Linked DNA regions of Lepisosteus oculatus. The protein of the gene in region 2 interacts with the protein of the main gene of each other region in a pairwise test. Links are inferred from orthologs where the notes say so. Each region holds a gene or a part of one and is shown on either strand. Other genes may lie near its edges.

Region 1 (7,739 bases), on a different chromosome or scaffold from region 2:
TTGTCGATCTCGCGGTTGCGCTGCGCCAGCTCGCGGTTCAGCTTGTCGATCTCCGCCTCGTTGTGGTACAGCTTGAACAGCTGCAGCTGCACGTGGGCCCGCACCACCTCGTCCTTCAGGCGCTGGTACCGCTCCGCCTGGGGGCAGGGGCAGAGGCAGAAAGAGCGCAGAGCAGGAGGAACAGACAGGAGAGAAGATGATGGGCGAGAGAGAGAGAGAAGGACAGAGACAGAGGGGGGTCAGGTAGAGGCAGTGAGAGAGAGACAGAAAGAGAGAAGGACAGACAGAGGGGGGTCAGGCAGAGGGATAGGTAGAGGCAGTGAGAGAGAGAGAAAGAGAGAAGAGAAGACGGAAAAGACACGGGAGACAGATGAACGGAGTGAGAAGAAGAGAAACAGGAGGATCAGGCAGAGGGATATGTAGCAGCAGTGAGAGAGAGAGAGACAGGGAGAGAGTGTGAAGAGAAGAAGGAACAGACAGGAGAGACAGACGAACACAGAGAAAGAGAGAAGGACAGAGATGGAGTGGGATCAGACAGGGAGATGGGTAGAGGGCGCGATATAAACAGAGTGTGGACAGAAAGGGGGACAGAAATAAGAGAAAAGGAATGAGAGAAGACGGATAATTAATAAAGCTGTACATTAGAAGACTGTATAGTATATATAGTATAGTGCCACAAAGAAGAGCTCAAAAACAGTAAGATTAGTCTGTACATTATTTCTTTTTGTTGTATTGCATGTATATATTCCCTAAGAATTACTTTTGCTTCATGATGTACTTTTACTGTGTTAAGGAGAATAATACATGTCCCACAATACTTCTGTGAGAGTTTAGCCTGCATTTCCGAGTCCCAGAGCTGAACCCCCTCTTGTATAGGGATCCCTATGGGACCTCCGGTGTATAACGCAGTGCCCGGCACTCCAACCTCCTCCTTCTCCTGCTTGGCCTCCTTGCGCTCGGCGGCGATGTTCTTCTTGCGGTGGTAGTTGAACTGCGTGTCCTCCTCGGCCTTCACCATCTCCTTCTTCCTCTTGTCGTACTCCTGCGCCAGCTCGCCCGAGCGCGAGATCTCCTCGAACAGGGCCGTGCGCTCCTTCGGGTTCTTCATGGCGATGGACTCCACCGCGCCCTGTGCGAGGAAGGGAGGGGGGGGGGGGTCACGCCTGGTCCCTTGAACAGCTCAGAATCCGATATTCACAATCTCCGGACTGCGACTGAAGCAACAGTGGTGCCTTCTTCTTTACAACAAGAAGAAACCGAGAACCAACAGCTGATGCTTTCAACACGAATGCAACTCCACCCAGCAATCGACATATGGCAGCCTCCCGCACCACGACCAGAAAAGGAGCAAGGTGGGGTGTCCCTGGGTCCCCTGAATGACCTGCCTGGTACCCAACAACTGCATCAGGCCACCCCAGGCTCTGGTCTTGGGGGGGGGCAGTCGATCTGGAGCACTAGATTCGGAGGCCGGCAGGACGGGCGACGCCGTCAAGGGTACCTGGAAGACGAGGAAGTTTCTGGCCTTGATGAGAATGCCCAGCTTCTCCAGCTCCTCGCTGTACTCCGACAGGCCCACCACCTTGCTGTTGATGCGGTACTCCGAGGAGGAGCCTGCGGAGCGGGGAGGGGGGAGGGGGGAGAGGCACAGGAGGTGGTGAGGAGGAGCACGAAACACTGCGGCCCCGCCTCGCTTCCGGAACCGCCCCGCCCGCGCTCAGGCCGGCAGCTGGGAGAGCGCCGCTTTTCCCGAACACGCCCGTACCCATCGGCAGAGGAGTGCGTCGTGAAACCCTGTGAACACTACTATTGCACACACAGAGGCCACTCCGCTGTGTGGCTCATTTAGGTCATCCAGGTGCGCCACAGCACCGAGTCTGAATACCTGGGCAACTTTCGTTCAGATTATCTACCGACTTCTATTTGCTTCTTGCTGCGAATGTGCGCGTGACAGATCACCAGCTACTTCAAGGCGCCATGACCGCAAGCTATAAGGCAGTGCGGGCACTCAGGCAGAGCACCGGGCACCGTGCCGATGATGACCCTGCTGTAGCTCCTCTCCCCTCGCGCCCTCAGACGCGGCGGCGTGGCGCCTCCCTCTAAAGACACGGGCGTACCGATGATGACTCTGGTGAAGCTCCTCTCCTCGCCGCTGTCCTCGCAGTACACCATGCTGACGTAGGCCCGGTTGGCAGCCGGCTTGCCCACGGGCGCCCCGTGGATCAGGTCCTTCAGCGTCTTCACGCGCAGGTTGCTGGTCTTCTCCGCCAGCACGAAGCTGATGGCGTCCATCAGGTTCGACTTCCCTGCGGGGGGGGAGGGTTACACGGTGAAGGAAGCCCAGGGGTCAGGGGTCGACGGGCCACTCTGCCTGGCCCCATTGTAAAGACTGGGCACTTCACCCCGGCTCAATCCAGAGCAGGAAACGACAACCGACGGCCTCATCGGGGCTGAATTACTGCACATCGGCCTGGACAGTGCAACTGCACACAGACACAGAGAGGAGCAGAAGGAAGCCTGCACACGAGAGGAGGCCATTCAACCCATCTTATCAACTTCCACTCTGTGATGAGCAACTCAATGGCACATTTTCCTGAGAGCTGGGATTAGGAACAAATCAACATTAAACAGAGAAGCAACTTAACACTCAGGTACCAAGTGAGCTTATAAAGGGCATTTATTTAGGGCAAAGAATAGGAAACATTTCATGACACAAAGGGCTGTGGGAGCAGGGAACACGCTGCCCAGCCATGTTGTTAAAGCTGATACTCTGGCTTCTTTCACGGAACAGCTGGAAGACATCAATTGGCAATGAACTACCAAGCAGCCACAGCTGGTCCAAATGGCCTCCTCTCATTGGTCACCGTTCCCACGTTCCACTGCAGTCGTCGCCCCAGTTAGTGAACCTCAAGCCTCACGGATCTCAGGTGTGGATAAACTTACAGCATTTGAGTCCTCCCCCCCCCCCTAATGGGATCCCCTCAAACAGACTGGGCACGCAATGCAATGCAATGCATCTTCTGGAAAAAATCTCAGACAGACAGCTTTCCAGATAGCCAACACGGCCTCAAATCTCAGGCTTTAGCTGCCAGAGCAGAGCTCCCAGTGTGGAGAGCCCCCTGCGTGGAAGAGAGCCCACTGCTCTCGGTTGGCCATACCAGGTCGCTTTCATCCTGGGTGCAGCTGCTGTCTGCCATATCCAGCACCCCACTGGGAGTCTCTATCCGTATCGTCCCCGCAGTCTCTCCTCTTCTCTCTTGTGGGGACTCTCGATTAGTCCGTCTGCCCGGGCACGGGCTCGGTACAGCCTACCGTGAGCGCGATGGTGGCGATTTTGGTTAAAGTGATTTATATGCAACAGCTTGTTGACCGTGTGGTTCACACTTCACAGCGAAAGGGATATCGAATCACACAGGGAGGGACTGCACGCCTGTCTCTGCGAGTACGTCTGCCTTCTAGTCGCTAGAATCTCGTGTATTTAATGCATTTGCTAGGTAATCCTTAATTTCCTAAGGTGAACACTGTACCTCCACCGGGTGAATTAAAGCTGAACAAAGAGGCAGAAAAAGCAAACACGCCTTGTGCATCTTTCTTTGTCGAAAGAGACACACCGACAACACTCAGGTGATTAGCGGTACATACTTTATACAAGAACTACGGCTCCCGTTTTCAATAATTCCAGTAACTGTGAAAACAGGACGGCGTACACTCAAAAACACCGAACAGGTCTGTTAAAACGGGTTCTTGCATCCCTACAGAGAAGCTGCATTTGTAAAAGGGAGTTACGTCGTTGCGTTATGAAGAGTGCCGAGGACTGCGTCCTGCCGAGACGGACACACACACACGTGTGTGCTCACACAGCCAGATGACGCGGGGGTACAGGACAGGCATGTCTGCAGAGCGACAGGATCTACCGGCGAGGTCGGACAAGCCCGGTTACTCGGCGGCTCACCCCGCGGCCCGGCAAGAGTGCAGACAGCGCCTCTCCTGCCGCCGACGAGCGGCGCCTCAGCTCCCCGCAGCCAGCCCGCAGACTGACAGAAGCCCCGCACTGACAGCCCCTCTGGAAATCCCTGCGCGTCCCAAGACAAGCGCATCACGCACAAATAAGCGATTCACACTCGGGTGTCTGCAGAACGGCCCGGCTACAGAAATGAAACCGGGCTTCATATGCAATACAACCAGAAACCGTGCAGGAATTCGTCCCTTCATAAACCCGCCATGCAGAAACGGAGGCCTACTCCACCCCCGGCCTCGAGTAGCGGCTGGGTCCGCTCTCCGGCCGCCCTGAGACGGCCAAGCCCCGCCTGAACGCCGCCGACTGTGCGCCCTTACCCGATCCATTGGGGCCGATGATGGCTGTGAACTTGTGGAAGGGCCCGATGATCTGGCGTCCTTTGTAAGACTTGAAGTTTTCGATCTCTATCAGTTTTAAATACCCCATTTTTAAAAACGTTTGTGCAAACGAATTTCAACGTCCGTATTCCTGGTTCAAATGTTTATCTGTAAAATGTACTCTCACATACAGCGTTAACCGCCCCCTCTCTCCTGCGCAACCAATAGCTTTATTTCTTAGGAGATACGATATCTCCTTCTTTAGATTTTATATATCTATCACTAAAATGATTTTTTTTCATTAAATTATATTTCAAAAACCTAAATGAAAACAATTACTGCCGGAGCGCGCGCGCAACCGGAGTAAAAACAAACAGCAGCGCCACCCCTGCTCTCGCGAGCTCACGCGGGCAAGCACGCATACGTCCAAACCACACGCAAGACGTGCGACGCCAAGGCCGGCCATCTTCCTTTTGGGCACCACCTTCAGTCGACTTAAATGGGAGTGAGGGCACATTACAGGGCGAGTGGTGGATTCTCGTTTCCATAGGAACCCCAAGCGGCTGACTAGAAACAAATCAATTGGAATTTGCTCTGGGCACACATTAGTGGAAGGAGCTACCTGGCGCAAACGCAGCCAAAACCCTGGTAAGATAAGTGTTTTTTTTCTTTCTTCTAGCAGATAACAAATGCAAACCAACCCATCTATAAACCTCTGTTAGACTTGGCTTGGATCACGGCGGTGTGTCGCCTTGAAGCAGACTGCAGTGGGGTTGCTGTACAGCTGTTTATAACAAAGATAACTTGCGAAACAGAATCTCACCGCAATATTGGAAAACAAGGCTCCCTTGAGCAGATGAATTTGGACGAAAACCTATATTCGTCGCAGAGATACAGATGCAGACCACACAGGTAGCAAGCGTGGGTCCGGGAGAGACACTATGCAGTAAACTTACTAAATTCTCGGATTCCAGAATAAAGATTCCGTTCTCAGCTCCTCTGCTTCTACACACGGATCAATTCTAATTTTCATTAAAGTAAAGCAGAGGGAAATCCACTATGTTGACTGTAGCTGCCTTAGAGAACTTCGACTACTTGTATCGGTTGCTCATGTAGTCTGGGCGGAATACAGAGGGTCCACTCCCTCAGCCCAGGACTGACTGACCCCAGAGCAGCACTGTCTTGACTACTGTCTTGTCAGGAGGCCAAGAGCACGTTCTTAGGGAGTGACGGGTCTGTCTTCTCTGCTGAAGGCCAGACAGCACGCAGCTCTGGACCGGGCGTTAAAGTGCCCAGGTCCACTCCACAGATATTCCATTGCTGCAGTGAGACTGAAGTGTCACAGGACAGTGGCCGTCCCCTGCAGCGTACAGACAGCCCTGTCCCACGCCCAGGGAGAGCGTCCATGCCAACGTCACTGGATGCTAATGTGTGAAATCAGGGACCAGGGCGTTTCTCAAAAAGAGTAGGGGTGCTCACCCCAGTGTTGGGGCCAAATCTCCCCCTCAACATTACCTATCAAGGCCTCCTAATAAGCCCCTTTGAACTGGCTTCGTCACTCTGCTCTCCTCCCCACTGAGAGCTGGTGTGTGGGGAGAGGACTGGAGCATCGTCCAGGTGGGGCTGCACACTGGTCCCCATTACCTGTACAGCGCTTTGTGTGGAGTGTCAGAAAAAGCGCTATATAAGTGTAGGGAGTTATTATTACTGTTGTTTCAGGACTGAGACACGAGTATCACCAGAACTTTATGCAGAGCAGCACAAAACATGAATGTAAACATGTCCAGAAAAGCACTATATATAATATATACTTAATGAGTAAATATATAATAACAGTCCTCACACTTTTATGTCGAATCCTTACGATGTATGTAAGTGTAAGGATAATTATTATTTATGCTGTTCTGATGTTATTGTTTTTCTTCAGTGTGTGTGGCAGTGCAGTGTCGCGGGATGTATAAAGTAGACCTGCCTGTAGATGGCGCCCTCGCGGCGGCGGTGGAGCGCCGGCGGCTGGCGGAGGCGCAGCGGCGGAGCCGGGTGTTTAACCCGCGGGTCCGGACCCTGGGGGTGGACCTCCCGGGGCTGGAGAGGCAGGTGGAGGAGCGCCGGGTCCTGGAGGAGGCGGAGAGACGGAGGGACCGCGCCTTCGGTGAGAGACAGGGTCATAGGTCACACCCCCACCTGGCTGAGTGTCACTGTCACCCTCTACAGCAGTGTGTGTGTTAACCCCTCTGCCTCAGTGCAGTGTGTGTATTAACCCCTCTGTCTCAGTGCAGTGTGTGTGTACAGCAGTGTGTGTATTAACCCCTCTGTCTCAGTGTGTGTACAGCAGTGTGTGTATTAACCCCTCTGTCTCAGTGCAGTGTTGTGTACAGCAGTGTGTGTATTAACCCCTCTGTCTCAGTGCAGTGTGTGTGTACAGCAGTGTGTGTATTAACCCCTCTGTCTCAGTGCAGTGTGTGTGTACAGCAGTGTGTGTATTAACCCCTCTGTCTCAGTGCAGTGTGTGTGTACAGCAGTGTGTGTACTAACCCCTCTGTCTCAGTGCAGTGTGTGTATTAACCCCTCTGTCTCAGTGCAGTGTGTGTACTAACCCCTCTGTCTCAGTGCAGTGTGTGTGTACAGCAGTGTGTGTATTAACCCCTCTGTCTCAGTGCAGTGTGTGTACTAACCCCTCTGTCTCAGTGCAGTGTGTGTGTACAGCAGTGTGTGTACTAACCCCTCTGTCTCAGTGCAGTGTGTGTGTACAGCAGTGTGTATATTAACCCCTCTGTCTCAGTGCAGTGTTGTGTACAGCAGTGTGTGTATTAACCCTTCTGCCTCTCTCAGATGCACTCAGCCTTGCCCAGGATGCAGTGTTTGTTCAGGGTCAGCAGGAGGAACAAGAGACTCGTGCCCAGCTGGCCCGGGAGCTACAGGAGTTTCGGGCAACCCAGCAGTGCCCCAAAGACTCTCGGGACTTTGACCTTAATGACCCTCGTGCAATACACAGCGATTCCCCTGCCGGTCTCACCGACCCTGATGCCCAGTATGGGCCAGCCAGCATGCAAAGATTCGAGGTCAGCCATGCATAAAGACAGCACAGAAAAACATTTAGGCAGAGACACTCACTCAAAGAAACAGAGAAAGACAAAGACAGAAAAGAGCCTTGCAATCATGTCATTAGCACAACACATCCAGCTCCTGGTGCTGGTCTGTGTCTCTGTTTTTAGTGCTGTGTGTCAATAGTCCCAGTGCTTTCTGTATGTGTCAGAATTTGTAGGGCTCTGTGTTTGTCAGTATCCTCAGTGCTCTGTGTGTCAGTATCCTCGGTGCTCTGTGTGAATATTCTCAGTGCTCTGTGTGTCAGTATCCTCGGTGCTCTGTGTGAATATTCTCAGTGCTCTGTGTGTCAGTATCCTCGC
Region 2 (6,905 bases):
TGAGCTCCTCGATGCGGCCCAGACACCTCAGGTAGCTCAGGTGCCTGGCAGTGAGGTCCAGCGTCCCCAGGGGCGGCCCCAGCCGGTCGGCCCAGCACTGCGCCCCCTGCAGGTGCTGGTGCAGCGTGTTGGACAGCGCCCTCTCTCTGCAGAGCAGGTGGCGCAGGGAGTCCTGGGCCTGCTCCGCCGCGGACAGCGCCGCCGACACGCGGAGGGGCACGGTGCTGGACACGGTCAGCACCTGCAGCAGGGGAGAGCAGACCAGGTACGTGTCCGTGTACGCGTCATGAGCACAGGCACAATGACACGCTTATCTGCATGTACACTCCAGTACGAAGACATTAAGGAAACCAAAAAACAGAAACACAGAACAACAACAAGTTAAATAACATATAACTTAAAAAAAACAAGTCAGACAAGCAGGGTGAGAAGAAAAGACAAAAAAAAGGCCATCAGTGTGAGCCAGCGGCAGGGGCAGAGTTCAGTAACCTGACAGCTTGTGGGAAGAAACTGTACGTCTGGATCTGGACGTATAAGCCTTTATGCTCCTATAACACTTACCAGAGGGAAGGGGGGAGACAGATGAGAAACCGGGATGATTGTTGACGTAAGTGATACCTGCAGCCTTCTTGAGACAGCGAGTTTTAAAAATGTCCACAATGGAGGGGAGCTGTACCCCAATAGTACACAGATTACGCAGTGACCACACAACACCGCCTCTCCCATCAGGACACACACAAACAACACAAACTGGCATGGGACAAGGAGAAACAGATTCTGACAAAGGACAGGCTCAGTGACCACAGCCTGGACATGGAAACTGGACACAGACCTGACTGCCCAGAGAGGACAGGCTCAGTGACCACAGCCTGGACATGGAAACTGGACACAGACCTGACTGCCCAGAGAGGACAGACTCAGTGACCACAGCCTGCCCATGGAAACTGGACACAGGCAGACCTCACTGCTAAAAGAGGACAGGCTGTGCTCCCACTGCCAGTTGGGAGACATAGGGACAGAGAAAAAGTTTCTGCTGCACTGCAAAAAATTCTCAGGGATTAGGCCAATGTTCTTCCCTAAATTACGACATCTAATTCCAGAATGCCCACTCCTGCCAGAATGGGAACAGCTTCAATAGAGCTGCAGCCCAGTATGTGATCTCCTGTCACAGCCTGAGGAACAGAGTGAGCATCCCAAATTATGGCCAGCAGCCATGTCACCCTGCAACTCACACCTGGCAGCCCACTGAAGCTCAGCAGGTGTGAGCCTGGTCAGTACCTGGATGGGAGACTCCTGGGAAAAACTAAGGTTGCTGCTGGAAGACATGTTAGTGGGGCCAGCAGGGGGCGCTCACCCTGCGGTCCATGTGGGTCCTAATGCCCCAGTATAGTGACGATACTTCGGATGAGACATAAAACCGAGGTCCTGACTCTCTGTGGTCATTAAAAATCCCAGGGCGTTTCTCGAAGAAAGCAGGGGTGTAACCCTGGCTTCCTGGCCAAATGTCCCATTGGTCCTTACCAATCATTGCCTCCTAATAATCCCCATCTCTGAACTGGCTTTGTCACTCTGTTGTCCTCCCCACTGAGAGCTGGTGTGTGGGAAGTGTACTGGTGCACTATGGCTGCCGTCATATCATCCAGGTGGGGCTACACACTGGTGGTGGTGGAGGTGAGCCCCCATTAACCTGTAAAACGCTTTGAGTGGAGTGTCCAGAAAAGCGCTATATAAGTGTAAACATTAATGCCTTGCTTATTGTTGCAGTAATTCATCGTTCAGGCATCGTTCAAGCTCAGCGAACCTGAGTGCCTGTCTGTGCGAGTCGCCCTGATTCAAGGTCTCGGTGGGAAACTGAGCCCCCTGCACAGAACAGGGCTGCCCAGGGGCCGAGCTCATCAGGGGGAAGAGATCGCAATATTTTCAACCCATCGCCGGAAGAGCGAGGACTTCTTCACACCCACCGCTCAGACTGATGTCACCTGCTCCGCATGAGGTCTTGCGCAGGGCAACCGCCCCACAGACCCCTCCTCATCTGGCACAACTCCCGGCAGAGGCCGAGCCGGGCTGCATGAAAGCGGCGCTTTCCCACGTCTCGGCTGGACTTTATGCAAAGGACGTTTTCTTTTGTGCCCGAAATGATGTGCATGACAATCGCACCCCGATGTGCCAAAGCGCTCACCGGCGGAGCGCTAACGGGGACGCAAACACACACAGAAAACTTCTCTCTCTCACACACACACACTGGCGTGTGGACTGTCCGTGTGTCTCTGCGGACTCGGCTCGTACACTTCAAACCCCAGTCTGCGGGCCGGTTCTCTGTCGTTTCCCTGCTTATTAGGATTTCAGGCACTTTTCCCCTCCTTGTGCTGCAGCTCATAGCGGGCGTGAAGAGCCTCATGTACAACGAGGATCAGCAAAGCGCGACCGTGTCGGCTCTGTGCCCCGGTTATTCCGACAGCTTCTCCGGCATTATGATGAGTTGTTGTTATTAATAATTACCCGTTTCTTACACTAGGACCCGAGAGGGACCAGGGGCGTCGACCCGGGCGTATAGCAGTAACAAACAGCCACTGGTTACTGGTCTCTCAGTAATAACGGGCTGAGCTACACTTTATACTGGCCGTATTATAATGAATGCCCTGCGCCGGTCCCGTCCTTTTATCCTCTTCGGGGCGGACAGCGCTGCAGACGGACTGCCATTGACCCACCCCGAGCCCCCGTCACCCGTGTCGCCCACCGGCTGCCCTACCTGCTCCTCCAGAAGCTTGTTTTCCGCCAGCAGGCTCTCCAGCAGGGCCCTCACTTTCCTCAGGGACTTCAGATCCCCGCCGATCTCGCTCTCCACATATTGGGTGACGTGCTCCGGGATGCCGTCCTCCTCCTCCCTGGACCCCGGACTGCTGTCCGGGTTTCCCGAACCGGGTAGACCGCCGCTTCTGGAACAGCCCCGCTCGCTCGTGGGCGCCGCCATATTTACTCGCAAGCGTCCTTCTCGGCCCGTCTCCACGTCAGCAGCAAGCGGGGGGTCGGCGCCCTCTTGTGGCAGCCAGAGGCATTGCAGGCGCTCCCCAGCCCGAGAGATGCCCTTCAGTTTGTTTTGTTTCATCAGCACGTAGGTGACAAACGAGGCGCGTTTGACCTGTCTAACACGTTTGGAATTTAGTACCTAATTAATTGATCCCAGGATCTCATCCAGCTGCTTCTTGGAAGTAAGAGTATCAGCTTCAGCAACATGGCCGAAGCAACATTGTTCCACAACCCTCTGGGTAAAGAAGTGCCCCCTGTTCTCGGTTTTAAATGCTCTTCCACATAGGTTTGTGCTTCAGTGCTGACTTTTGTCAGTGTCTTTGAGGATTTTGAATTATTGAATCAGGTGTTGCTACTAGCTTCTATATAACAAACAAGATGGGTTGAATGGCCTGTCTGCTCTCCATCCTGCAGACAAGAAAATATTTCCGGGGATGATGCAGAGGCAGTAAAACCCCAAAGCCTGGACTCAGTCAGGTTTGACTTGGCCATGCACAGCAACCCTTTTCTGTGATGGCAGAGAAGGATTCCACCATCACAGTGGAAACCTTACACAGCCTTTGTAACGTGCAGCTGGAGCAGAGCACTTCGGCTATGACTGTATCCAGGCGACGTTCTCTCCAAACGCCTCTGGATAAAAGCACCTGAAAAAATGCCCAACAATAATATAGGATGCAAAATGGCGCCATAAGTTTACAGTAAAAAAATCTGAGCTTCATGAAGAGCTCATTCCCACTAGCCCGCCGTTGCTTGTCCCCTGCTGAATCTTCCCTTCGGGAAGGCTGGACAGACTTGTTTAAGACATGTGGACAGACTGACCTGAGGAACAGCTCTCACACATGCCTGCTGACCGTTCCTGCTGGACCATTGCATTACAAATGACCAGTCTGACTGTGGAAAGTGAGCAAGGCCCTACTTCTAACAGGGTTCTCCTCTTTTTCTGACCACCCATCGTCCTCTCCCAGAAACCACAGGAACAGATCAAAGCAGACAGCCTAGCACCATCCAAGCCCATGCCACGCAGGTCCTGAGCTCAGGGAACATCACTGTATTATTGCCCTTTTATAAGGCAATAACCAGAGTGGAAAAATCACCGTACATACATGTTTTAGGAAAATAAAACAGAAGTATTTCAGCTGTTTGAAAGGTTGCCCATATAGAAGTTGTTTGTAGTTTCGGTTTTATGAATTGATCATTCATGATTGACTGTGGAAGTCATTTTGACGGTTGTGTAGTCGCTGAATCACTTCATTAGAGCTGACCGAGCACAGGGGATGAGGCGATTCAACCTGTTCAAGGATTACCCTGAGGGATCAAGAAAGAACACCCCAGAATCTGTCCAGCAGACGAAGAGAACAATGTCTTTGTGCCGTCAGAATGTGAAAGGCTCGACTATTCCGAAATCTGGCAAGATGTTACAACACGTAACAGCACTGACAGGGACTGATCTGGGAAAGCACGAGTCGCGATACCTCGCCAGAACCGACATCATGCACCGTCATCTCAAACTGCCACTGGACTTGCAGTCCGTTACAGTTCTCAGCTGTGGGGGCAGCTGAGCAGCCACTGTCTGCAGGCCAGACAATCACACAGAGGCCTAATGCTCATCAGAGTAAAGGGGGAGAGAGCCCTTGAGCCAAGGCCTCTTCAGAGATGAAGCATCGCTCTGCGTCGACCACCCCGATTGATGTTACAGATGTGACGGTGGTTGTGTACACTGGGCAGAAGTGTCCACTCACTACAGAACTCCACAGGCAGGGACTGACAGGAACCTGGCTGTTATACTGTGGAATCCCTACTATCCTGATGTGAGCCCCATCAAACATTTCTGGGATGAGCTGGGGTGATGTGACATCTAGGGCTCAGAGACCAGTGACCAGGCACAGGCTCCAGGCAGTAGGAGAGGAAAGGGACAGAATCCCACATCACAGCATCTGCAACCTGGTACAAGTCACGAGTCCCAGACGTACAGCTTGTACTTCCTCCCACAGTGGCCACACATGCTACTAGCCTGACCTGGGTATCCGCTATACAAACTGTCCTGATAATGTCGTGAATTTGTCACACCTACAGGCAATGTATTTTAGGTCACGTCTTTTCAATACAATTCAAAGTACTTATTACAAAAAATATCTTCCCCGATATGGCTGTAAACGTGTTGGATCCATAAGTGATGTATTTTATATCCGGTACACGATTTTAAATTACGCACGGGAGTAACCCCCCACCCCCCACCGCCGTTCGATCCACACAACGACACAGACTCTTGTATCGGCCATTTTATTCTTCGAGGAAGTCATCATCCATACAGGTGTCCAGTTTAAAACAATGGCGGCGGCGGCCCAGCGGGGCGGCTCAGGCACAGTGTGTGAAGCCGAGCAGCAGGGTGTGGCCGTCCCAGACGGAGTGGGCTGCAGTCACCAGCCGGCCGTGACCAGGACACACCTGACCGGGAGAGTACCAGGGTCCGATTTCATCTCGCTCCCTGGCGTCTGCTAGGAGCTTCTCCACCAGAGGCAGTGCTTCCCAAACCTCTTCAGATCACGGCACGCTTTTAACGTTAAATAAAATGCACCCATATTGCCAGAGTTAATTATTTTAAACTCTCAACATAGAGCAGTGGTTCCTAACCCTGGCCCTAGAAGAACTGTACCTCTATTTATTGCAGCTGAGTAATTAATCACAGGCTCACCGATCTCAGTTACCTATTTTGTAAATTCACCTGCAGCTCTTAAAAGGTCGATCGGGGCTTGTATTTGTCATCTGCTCTGTACCAGTTTCTGAGCTGCAGAGCTGCCCTCCTCCAGCAGCGCTCCCTGAAATGTAACTGATCAGACTTGTGCAGAAGGAGAAGCGCTCATTGCGTCATTCCCACCTCTACCTGCTCACCAGCAGCTGATCGGCTACCAAGAGCTGTTCACTCTGTAAGGTGAGGAGAGGCGGCACAGCGTTCTACATGCTGAACGTGTTGGGAGTGGTAACCTTGAATTCGGGAAATTTTGACACACAGGACTTACAGATGAAACAAGTTCAATGAAAGTCTAAACAAGAAAGCAGATCAATTAAGTCATCGATCAGCACTGGAGCAAAGACTGTTCCTTCAGGAGCAGGGCTGGGTGCCATTAACAGACTATAGCTGTGATGAGAAATATCACAGTTCACTTTTTTGGACTAGAAGCCTGATGTGATGATCTGAGTTTGTTTCAAGGGACAGAACTGTTTACCCCTTCGGTTCAATGCTGGGAAAAGCCACACAAAAACACAGATCTTTAAACAATCTCTTCCGATTCCACATGGGACCAGTTTGGGAAGCACTGCTGTCAGGGAGTGGGGCTCGCCATGCGTCACAAGATGAAAGGCTCCGATGGGCGGGCACGTACACCTACTCTCATTCTCCACTGTGCGGCTTTTTCAGCAGAGCTCTTAAACAACGGGCAATTTCAAATGAGAGTATAAAATAGAACATAACCAGGGGGCTACAAATGAGAAAAAATACCTCCCTGCACAGATCCCAGGGCTGTTAGAAACTGCTTGGCACAGAGAGTCAGTAGAGTCTAATCGCCACCTCCCTGCTCTCACTAGTGCTGTAAAGTAAAACGATTTCACTTCCCCTGCTTTCGCCTTAAATTGTAACACTTAAAAAAAAAGTAAAAAATAAAAACTTGCCCTTGTGCAATATTCTCCTCTCTCGTTTAAAAACACTGCTCAGAGGGGCGGCCGTCCGTGTGCAGGCCTGCTGGGCAGTGTGTCTGTCCTGACCCTTGACCCCTAGGTGTGGCCAGACCACAGCACTGCAAAACACACACACGCAACAGACGCGGCTGTACATATATACAGGAGCAGCAGCAACTTGTGCACAGCTGGACAGCCGCACAATC

Evidence for each region.
Region 1: the proteins of rint1 (region 2) and ribc1 interact in binary tests that used the Homo sapiens proteins (3 or more experiments, as listed by UniProt). The two-hybrid records come from large-scale screens. The link is inferred for Lepisosteus oculatus from reciprocal best matches to the Homo sapiens genes RINT1 and RIBC1.

The regions. Positions count from the first base shown.
Region 1 is NC_090697.1:74,708,695-74,716,433, forward strand, and holds the start of ribc1 (RIB43A-like with coiled-coils protein 1), read left to right. Parts: upstream 1-4,727; 5' UTR 4,728-4,980; intron 4,981-5,087; exon of another isoform or gene 5,088-5,244; intron 5,245-6,259; 5' UTR 6,260-6,285; coding exon 6,286-6,484; intron 6,485-7,164; coding exon 7,165-7,394; intron 7,395-7,739. Other genes in the region: structural maintenance of chromosomes protein 1A, read right to left, coding at 1-137, 926-1,129, 1,499-1,611, 2,115-2,303, 4,333-4,441.
Region 2 is NC_090702.1:48,097,512-48,104,416, forward strand, and holds the start of rint1 (RAD50-interacting protein 1), read right to left. Parts: upstream 3,022-6,905; 5' UTR 2,972-3,021; coding exon 2,750-2,971; intron 242-2,749; coding exon 1-241. UniProt on the Homo sapiens protein: Involved in regulation of membrane traffic between the Golgi and the endoplasmic reticulum (ER); the function is proposed to depend on its association in the NRZ complex which is believed to play a role in SNARE assembly at the ER.